Nothobranchius furzeri: one gene and its partner. The main gene of each other region encodes a partner of the protein of the gene in region 2 in a complex. Links are inferred from orthologs where the notes say so. Each region holds a gene or a part of one and is shown on either strand. Other genes may lie near its edges.

Evidence for each region. Proteins that work in one complex are often made in the same cells at the same time.
Region 1: the proteins of malt1 (region 2) and bcl10 are in contact, whole or in part, in a cryo-EM structure (PDB 6GK2), measured with the Homo sapiens proteins. The link is inferred for Nothobranchius furzeri from reciprocal best matches to the Homo sapiens genes MALT1 and BCL10. Residues at the interface, in NP_006776.1 of Homo sapiens: Asp46, Gln47, Ala48, Pro49, Trp54, Arg55, Leu74, Glu75, Ser78, Leu79, Val81, Leu82, Glu83, Pro84, Glu85, Gly86, Pro88; in NP_003912.1 of Homo sapiens: Leu13, Lys17, Val83, Arg87, Asn93, Gln97, Thr100, Leu104, Arg107, Asn108, Leu111.

What each region holds. Positions count from the first base shown.
Region 1 is NC_091751.1:48,596,151-48,601,600, forward strand, and holds bcl10 (B-cell lymphoma/leukemia 10), read left to right. Parts: upstream 1-1,776; 5' UTR 1,777-2,200; coding exon 2,201-2,251; intron 2,252-2,602; coding exon 2,603-2,891; intron 2,892-3,210; coding exon 3,211-3,623; 3' UTR 3,624-5,392; downstream 5,393-5,450. UniProt on the Homo sapiens protein: Plays a key role in both adaptive and innate immune signaling by bridging CARD domain-containing proteins to immune activation.
Region 2 is NC_091757.1:57,789,202-57,793,715, forward strand, and holds the end of malt1 (mucosa-associated lymphoid tissue lymphoma translocation protein 1), read right to left. Parts: intron 4,432-4,514; coding exon 4,360-4,431; intron 4,280-4,359; coding exon 4,152-4,279; intron 3,769-4,151; coding exon 3,625-3,768; intron 2,623-3,624; coding exon 2,465-2,622; intron 2,361-2,464; coding exon 2,235-2,360; intron 1,967-2,234; coding exon 1,493-1,966; 3' UTR 1,304-1,492; downstream 1-1,303. UniProt on the Homo sapiens protein: Protease that enhances BCL10-induced activation: acts via formation of CBM complexes that channel adaptive and innate immune signaling downstream of CARD domain-containing proteins (CARD9, CARD11 and CARD14) to activate NF-kappa-B and MAP kinase p38 pathways which stimulate expression of genes encoding pro-inflammatory cytokines and chemokines.

The DNA.
Region 1 (5,450 bases), on a different chromosome or scaffold from region 2:
GGGTGGATTAGAATCTGCATTAGTGCTTCAGACTTTCAAAGTGAAGACAAGAACTCGAGGGAATGTTTGAACCTGAGAAATCCAGATTAAAGGAGGACATTCAATCCAGTAAAATGTTGCCTGGAGCCACACCCTCTCCGTAGTGAACTTCACAGGTTTCAATTCAATTAAAGGATCAGCATCAAAGAAAATGATCAACTAAAGCAGGAATTTTTGTCTCAAACGTCGGTTACAAAAGTCCTTCAGAGTCTGTGCCAGCCCAAACACATAAAGGGCGAACAAGCGTGAACTCGGTGAACCAATTATGTCTGCAAATCGCTGACTGTAGTGGTTTGGAAGGGAAACGTTTCCCACCAAAAGATGTTATGTTAGAAAATTTCAGAAGCACGTAAATTGAGTGGAATGTTGGACATGAGACAGGCAGATGAAACATTTCAATTCAATGTGAAGGTTTGCTGCAGGGCCACAAAGACACCTGGATTATATGAGCCTTCCTGGAATAATTAAAATGTCTCACCTGAGATGTGCTGAGGAGCCATTTACATGAAAATCATGGAGGGGAAAGGCAAAAGAGGAAGTTTAAACCACATTTTTGCTGTTTTGCATAAAGTGCATGTGAACTCCGTGACACACACGGGGGTGTTAAAAACAGCCAAAAGCTGTAAGGTGGGTGGACAGGAGGGTAAAAATGGCAAGATTATGCAAAATTGTGGTTTCAGAAAGTTAGAAGACGTGATTCTCAGTAGTAGCAAGCTTTTTGTTGCTGGTATAGGATGCATTGTGCCACAGGTGTAAAACAAAATTATCTCATGGCTCTTTGTGCATCTTTTCTACCCTCCTGTTCTCTTACATTTTGCACAAATATTTTAAAATGTCATGAACGTTGTAGTAAAGAACAGACCATGTGCTGTTTTTTATATAAAAGTTCTTTTATTAAGAAAACAATTCACGTCCAGTCTGACCTTTGAAACTCCTGACATCTAAAGAGCATCTTCCAGCAACATCTTTCCTCCTGAAATCAGGAGTATGAGAGCAGTTATTGGTCATCCCTTCAATTTTCGCATTGTTGTATAAAACTATCAAAAGGGAGACAGACGGCCATCCGTCTGCTTTTCATTTGGATGAAAAACCTCTCCTTGGAAAACTAAAGTGTCATTTCTGTCTAGTTTTGTTTAAGATGTTGTCTTCTGTTAATTAAACATGTGGAAAAAGAAAATAAACTGCAATCATTGATGCTGATGAAGAAAAACTGACAGCAGATTGATTTCTGTTTTTCAAGTGATTGATTCATCACACTGAAGAGCAAATGGACAAAAATGTAGAAAGTTGTGGTATATTCTGAATATATACTGTCCAAAGGAGGTGAACTGAAGATGCTGGGGACAGACCAGTAACAATTTCTGGTTTGAAATTCCTAGAAAAAGGATTAGGCTGCTTTTATCTAAAATCACAAGCCTATAGCAGTAGCAAAAATATTTTGCCCTTTGCGTATATATTTACCCATGCAGGATGGCTTGCAAGGCTACCAAATCACGTCTACTACAAACACTCATCATTTCCAGTAGGAACAGGAGTGTTAACCTTTCACTGTGTCATATCCAAACCTAAAGAAATAATATTCTCTGGCGTAATATACTATCCCTATTATTCCAGATAAACTAACTGTAAGGGGAATGGGTTGTGGTAAAAGTACCTTTCTGTTATGATAGTTTTTCTGGGATTTTACCTGTCTGCGGTCCAACAGCACCCCCTCGTGGAGCTGGTTAGAACTACGCGTCACCTTTGAAACTTTCTAAAGCGAAACTTCTCTGTCAGCAGCAGAAAGCAAAGAAAGGTGCTACCCTTTCAATTAAAATAGGCCAATTATACGTCATTTATATTACACTTAATATGCTTTGTTAGAATTTACCGAGAAAAAGTCAGATTTTAGTGAGAGCGGCTTTGTTGTGTGAGCACTCCTCTCTTCTGTCGTTGACGTAGTTAAACATCGACACAATCAGGAAGTCCGGGGCTTTTTTAAAAATGCATTTTCCGTGATTAAGAGAAGGAGACAATAGATGTGTCAACTTTTAACAACGAATTATGAAACATCCCTATCTTTAACGCTTACGGGAGACTTTTTATGACGTTTGTTGAACTGTTTTTCGTTTAAAACGGATTAAAACCGTCATAATTCACCCGGAACACCTGGATTTGAGAGATGGATGCTGCTCAGCTTACTGAAGATGAAATGGCAGAGATTAAAAAAGACGTGAGTATGATCATTCAGACAGCAGCTGGCTCTGAGTCTGGATGAGTTTGATAAAGAGGTGGGGACGGTTTCGATAAGAACGTGATTCTGTGCGCCATGATCCGAGTCAGAGGCCTGTTAAAGGGGGAAATATCTCACCGCACCCTCTGAACCCACAAAAACAATAAATCCTACCAATAACAGCAGAAATGCGGCTTTAGCCACGTTGTAAGTTAAATTAAATAGGCTGTTTTGTTAAAATTGAATGTATGCTCGATATCTATTGTTCTGAAGTAAAAAAAATAAAACATGGAGTGTTGTCCACCTGCTTTTTGGCTTCAAATATTCGCTTTTCGTCCCTTTCATCTGCAGGTGCTGACCAGACTGCGGCACTACCTCTGCGATAAGATCCGAGCTGACCGCCACCTGGACTACCTGCGTTCTCGAAGGATCCTTACGCGAGACGACGCAGAGGAAATCAGCTGTAGGACCACACAGACCAAGAGGACTGCAACGCTGCTGGACATCCTGGCTGAGAACCCACGAGGTCTGGACGCCCTGATCGACTCCATCCGAGAGATGCGAGCACAAAACTTTATCATTGCCAAGATCACGGATGAAGTGCAAAAGGCCAAAAATGAGAAGATAGAGTCACTCAGAGGTTAGTAAGCCTTGCTAAGTGAAGATCAAACCTGCAACATCTTGTAAAAATCATTGTTTCAAAGTTTTTATGGTGCCCAAACCAAAAATATCTGCTTTCTGACTAAACTGCGGGGTGTCAGACAAGGAAGGGGGAGGTCCCCATCAGGGATTGTGAGATGCTTTTTATTGTTTCACTACTGTTGCAGTTCTGACTTGGTTCATAGTTTGTTGGCCCTCTGGGACCCCATTGAGGCCTTGGGGCCCCAAGCAATTGCCTGCCCTGCCTGTTGGCATCTAGCGCCTCTGGTAGTAATGTCTCATGTCCTTCTGCCTCTCAGCTGCAGGAAAATCCAGCTCATCGTGCGGCAGCGCCTTCAACTCCCCGAGCTCCAGCAGCGATCTCCCCAACACATTTTCCAACAACTCCACCATCCTCTTCCACCCAGATGGAGAGCAAAGCTCCTCCACCTCTGACGTGGCAGAGTCACTCAATATGCCATCGATACGGAAATGTGGAAACCTGCCCTCTGTGTCCGGGGCCAGCATCGGAATCGCTTCCTCCACAACCTCCTCCAGCCTCCCGAAGCCGGGAGACCCCGGAGCTCCTCCTCTGCCGGACGAGGTTGTGCTGGAATCTCCTTCCAACATAGACGCAGCAACGCCGGGGTGCACGAGCAGCGGCGGAGATCCGAATTTCCAACCGTTGCGATCACGCTCGCTCACCCCAACATCACACAGAAGCGTCTTTTGAGCCATGCTTTGAAACTTTTGATGGATTCCACTAACGGAGCGCTTCTTAAACACTGGCCTCATGTAGCTCTAACATAGTACAAACCACTATACTAGCCAACGTTCTTAGGACAAAAAGGGCATAATTTTCCATTTTAACGGGTATTTTGGTTATTTTCAAGTGTTTGTGTGAAATGTTTTAATAATTATCATCATAGATCTTAGAAAGTGTCCCGATCAGCCTCTGTTTGGAGAAATAGCTTTTAATTGTTTACTCGAGTTAACGGCTTGTTGGACAACAACCAAGATCAAAGTGAACGGCTGCCTTCTTAAAACAGCTCCCAAACTTTATCGTTTTCATAATCTTCAACAAGCCTGTGTTACTTTTTGTATCTACACAGAAATCTCTGGATCAATAGCCGTGTTCCCTCTATCAGAGTCCTTCAAATTTTCTGGGAGGGGGAATTTGACTGGGATATAGGCTGGCTCGGTCCTCTCTGCTGTTGGCCCTTTCAGGATTTCGCAACCGTTTCGTCAGTGGGTGATGTCACTGATCAGCACCAAAAGGTGTCCACGGACAATAAGAATAATAAATTACGAATTTTATTGTGCCAAAGTACCCTGTAGATTGTGTCATTCAGTTATCAGAAGAAACAGTTTTTTGCATTGCACTGTTAAACCACAAAGCGCCGTGAATTACGTTGTTCGGGGGATTTTCATCACTTTTTTCAGTGTTAAGACTTTAGAAACAACGTTTATAAAGCGGTGTGAATGTTGTTTACTATTTTCCTTTTCATCTGCTTCACCAGCAAATCTTGCTTTTATAAATTCCGGTTGTTTTGGCGACGTGTGCAGATGTCATTTCCTACTCCAATCAGCTTGAGATAACCACAAGCCCCGTTCAGCGAACCTTCAGGCCTATACAAGTACATACCCCAGTTCAGATACTCCGTTTGTTACAAGCATGAATAGTACCAGCACCAGCAAAAGGTAGCACTTCTGAGGCAGTCGGTGAAGTTTGGCTGGAATTTTTTTTAATTTTATTTTAGTTTTTTCAAAAATAACCATAACACAAAATTGATAGAACTAGCCAACAGAATCTATTTCTTCAAACAAAGCTCATTAAGGAAGCTTTCTACCGGAAGTGAGATGGTAATTATTTATGCAAAAACACAATTAAAAAGGGCCAAATTATCCCCATTTGATGTCTTTTGAAATTGGTGCCAACTTGTTACGTTGTTTTTATTTAGAGCAAAAATAATACTTTGGTCTTTAAAAACCATAAATATGTATTTTTTTACCTTTCAGTGTAAGCAGATGTGCAGAAACTGGGCCTGAATAAAGTAACTATGTAAAAAGAATATTTTATAGACATTATGTCATGAAGAGTATCAGTATGATCATTTTTAGTTTCATTTAACGGCGTGTTGTAAGTTTGGACATTCTGATATCACCTCAGACTAGTTCTGCTTTTTACTTCTCTAACTAAACGTGTGATTTCTTCATGAATCGTTGGACTGTTGGGTGATAACCGCTACGGTTTAGTCGTAGTTTTCACACTGGAACGACCGAATTAGTTCTGTACCAGACTCCAAACTGTTTTTGTGTTTTGTTTTTTATTGCATTACAGTAAGTGAACAAGACATTGCCTCCCACTTTTTCACTACAAGTTTTGAATCACAGAATTGATGTGAAATCCAAACTGTATTCTCCTTTTTGTTGGTTATTCACTGGTTGTTTTTACTGTAAAGTAAAACTTACAAATTAAAGGGCAAGTCACCTCCTTTCAGAGTCTTACTCCACCTCCCACTTCCTTTCTGAAAAATGCAACAAATGCTGTTGCCTGGCA
Region 2 (4,514 bases):
GATGAAAGCTAACCTAAAAAGATGGGTCTTGAGTCTGGACTTAAAAACATGAATGTTCTCTGCGGCCCTGAGGTCCTCCGGCAGCTCGTTCCAGAGGTGAGGGCCATAACACTGGAAGGACGCCTCGCCGTGAGTGTGTGTCCTGACTTTAGGGATGACCAGGAGACGCCTGCCAGAGGAGCGCAGAGGCCGCGAGGGTTCATATTGTAAAAACAGTTCTGATAGATAAGAAGGCCCAAAACCATTAAGACACTTAAAACCATTAGAAGAACCTTAAAATGGATCCTGAAACATACGGGGAGCCAATGCAATAATTCTAAAACCGGAGTGATGTGCTCCCGCCTCCTGGTCTTCATCAGGACACGTGCTGCCGGATGTTGTAGAATTTGTAAGCCTGAGATGCTCTTTTTGGGAAGACCAGAAAGCAGGGCGTTGCAGTGATCTATCCTACTGGTGATAAAAGCATCAGCGTCTCCGTATTGGCCCGAGAGAGAATGGGGCGGACTCTGGCGATGTTCTTTAGATGATAAAAACCTATTTTGGTGAAACTTTAAATGTGTGGGATAAAAGTCAGCTCAGAGTCAAAAATCACACCCAGGTTCTTCACTTGTTCAGAAGGATTAAAAGACCGAGATTCATGTTCAGCTTTGAAATGAAGAACTTTGCAGAACAATACAGTTAAAATACACATAAACCTCTAACTCATCTGTGTGCTTTTTTCTTTAGCAAAGACCAGCTGGTCTTCTAGTTTTGTTCACCTAACCCTAACCCATCTGAAAACAACCCTTGAAGTACAGATTGGTGAGTTTGAATGAATGGTGCCAACTGGAATCTTTGAAATTAGACCAACTATTTTCCACATGAGCTGTAATTTAAACCCCAGAAAGTCTGAGTCTGGGTGAAAACGGTTATCTTTGTAGCATAAATGACAAAAGAATTAATTTTGCTTTCTCATAAATTGTGATATTTCATATCGTGTAGCTTTTGTTCAGTGAAGCATTTTGTGTGTTTTCTCCGTGAAAGGTGCAATAAAAATAATTTACTTATTTGATTACAAATGGAATTTTCAGATTTGTACATCAGAGTAATTCATATAAAACAGATTTATGCTTTGTCCCATCCTGCACTTCCTGAGATACAAAGTTGGATGTAATCTGTTAAATGGCCACTAGATGTCGCCAAACTCTTTATACATAATTTCGTGGCATTTTTTTGCAATAAATCTACATTTTTTAAAAATCCATGTCCAGCAGTTTTAAACTTAATGTACCATACTTTATCCCAAGTAAAATGGAAGCTGAGAAAAAATTACAACAGCAGTTTTATTTTACTAAAATTAATCTCTCCAAAAATATATTGATAAAAAAACCTTCAACAAACAGCTTAAGACAAATAATGCTTAATAAATCGAGAGTACAACATGTTTTTCCATCCTGTGACGTGAAGAGCAGCAGCATTTTTACAAATATTTAAGAGGTTTAAAGCTCATGTTTCACTGGGGCTGAAGCTGCAGGCTTTTGATGAACACAGTCTGCAGCTCAGTGATGTCCTCAGTCGCTTCTATTGGGATGCTGAGTTTCAGTTCGGGCTCACACGCTCCATCGTAGCCATATTGGCTAAAGTGGTCATAGCGGGAAAACGCACAGCCCCCCACAGCACCCTGAGGATGCTCATAGATGTCCAAGTGGTGCTGTGGGGAGAGGCGGTTCAAGGCCTGGCCCTGGTGTGACCCGTGGTAAAGGAGATGCTGGTGGTGTTCAGGCCCCGGGCTGTGACATGGGCTTTGGGAAGGGCTGTGGGGCATCGGGCAGGTCTGCAGGCAGCTGTTCCGACGCATGGCCCGGTGGAGGTCCAGTCTAGCGATCAGTGGCTTTCCTATGTTGACACTTCTGGACCAGTATACGGGATGATCGTCATCCATGGCTGCAAAAGTGCCCTGAAGGCACACGGTGAAAACCAGCTCCTCCTGTTACATTATATTAGGAGAGAAAATAGTTTTCAGTAAGAGAAACAACCCAGATGCTTCCAGAGCTAAAAGAGAACCTTGGAGCAAAGGAGGATTGTAACAAACGATTAAAAAATGGGTTTCTGGTGTTGTTGTTGTGGAAAAAAGAACTGTTATGAACTATAAGCATCTTTATCAGACTGCAGAATATCAAACCCTAATGCATACTGTTGTAGTTTTTAATAAGTAAGCCTTAGTGTCACAATTGATCAGTCTATGTTCTTTGTACCCGGAGCTTCTGCAGCGAGCTGAGTCTGGTGTACAGACAGTGCTGTGGCAGACTGCTGGACAGCAGGTAGATCCCCGTCTCCTCTGGAGTCTCTCTGTTCATCTCTTTAGGATCCACATCTAGATCCTGAAAACAAGCAGGGACACTTTTCAACCTCAAAACCTAATCGATCTTTAACGTTTACAAAAACCAAGAAATCACAACTGTCAGATGAAAATGTGCGACATCACCAGTGAGAAGTCCGTGACATGAGCCTGGCAGAAAGACATGTCCTCTGGCTTCTTAATGATGTGAGTGTAAATGACGAGAACGTTGGAGAACTCCGCAGCGAAGCCCAGCTTGATCTGAGCCCCGCAGTCAAAATGAAGACTCATCGTCTCAGGAAGTTCTGGAACAACAAGCAAACACTTTGGGAACCAGGTTTTAGTTGCTAAAAACAAATCATGTTTAAAGAAAATATTTTATTTATTTGTAATGAAAATTATCCATAATTAATACTAAAAACCAAAACCACGTAAAATATCAAATCTGAGAATCTACCAAGAAGCCACGCAAATAAATCGATTTTTAAACTCGTTTCCCCCAAAAAATTAACAAGAAAACTTCAAGTTTTCATTTTCCGGGATTCCAAAGGCTACTTTTTATTGGGAAATAAAAACGCATAAACATCATTATAGTTCAAGTCAAACTGTATTCTTTTAGTGGAGCTAATACAGCCACATATCAAGCCGAGTTTCAATAAAGGAGACGAGTTTTTCCTTCAGAAAAATGACTTTACTGCAAAAAAGCAACATTTAAAGTTTTAAATGTCAACATTTAATTTTAAAGTTACTTTGAAATGGAATTAATACATTTTTAAATCTTCAACTTAATACATGATATAAACCGAATAAAGATGTTTAAAAATAAATAAAATACCTAACACAGGAAGGAGAAAATCTCAATAGTTTTGAGAAAAATTGCTTTCACAAAAATAAAAAAATACGCTTTTGAAGGAATAATTTAGATTTAGGCTGTTGAGTGAATTCAACACTAAAAACTTAGATTTAGTTTTTAATATGAATCACTGACACGTTTATCTCCTCAGACTCCTGAAAAGCTGCAAATACGGTATCTTTAGTTTTGTGCGACTGGTTGGCTGAAACCCAAGAGTAGCTGAGTCATGGTTTACAGATTTGTTTAGGCAACTATTTCTAAGAATATGATGTTAATCTAACAAGCTTCATGCAACAGTTGAGCTGTTGAAGGAAACTCCCATGGCCGTGTGTCTTTCCTGTAAAGATCGATAACTGCCAACATCTGGCTGAGCGAGACGTGTTCAACCTCCGGACGCTGAGAACTGAAGATTAGCATGTTTTATGTCATGCTGTGTGTTTGCTAGTGGGCGTACCGTGAGCTTTGGCCCACAGCCGGCTGTGAGCGAGATCGGCGCTGTCGCCGGGCAGAATAGGATCGGTCAGCGCTCTCCGCTCTGCCAGACTGCTGCGGATCTCCAGAGCCTGTTTACCCTTGGTGGCATCAAACTGGCCCATATCTGGAGACGAGAAAACCGTGAATTGATATTATTAATAAGCACCTGAATAAAAGCCGCAACCTGCTTACTTTTCAAATGGATAAAAAGTTGTAAATAATCTGGGCCACACTCGTCTACAAGCCACAGGTGTCCACTTTTATATGTCCAGGTAACGTGCACAAATACGTAGAGTAAATGGGTTTTTCCAACATGTGCCTGTGACATGGCTGGTTAAAAATAAATAAATAAATAAATAAATACATACAGGTACAATAGCCTGCCACCTCCATCTTCCCACTCAGAAACAAACCATCCTCAGTCTCCCTTTTGCTGTCGCTGTCAGTATCCTTTTATAAGGAGGAATGGGACTGTTGCAGTACAGTAAAGTACTAATAATACTTCACCTTCAGCAACTCTGTCCAGCAGCACAGTGATCTTCTCATCCTCCATCAGCCGCTTCTTTAAAAACTTGACAAACACACCGTTGGTGAAACCCGTGGAGCTCAGCTCAAAGGCCTCAGCATCTTGGCACCTAAACAAAACAGACAAATGCGTCACGTTACGATTCTGAAATCTAAAATCGCAGAAGGAACTGGATTGTCTCAGACTCACGTTGCATATCCAAAGACGATGTTGGCTGTGACTCTCAGGACATTGTTTGGAGCGCTGTCGTCGTGAAAGTTCCTGGACAATAAATCGGTGAATAAAAATGATTAAAATGACGAGTGATCAGTTCAAAGTGCTGAAATACACGTGGAATTACTGAC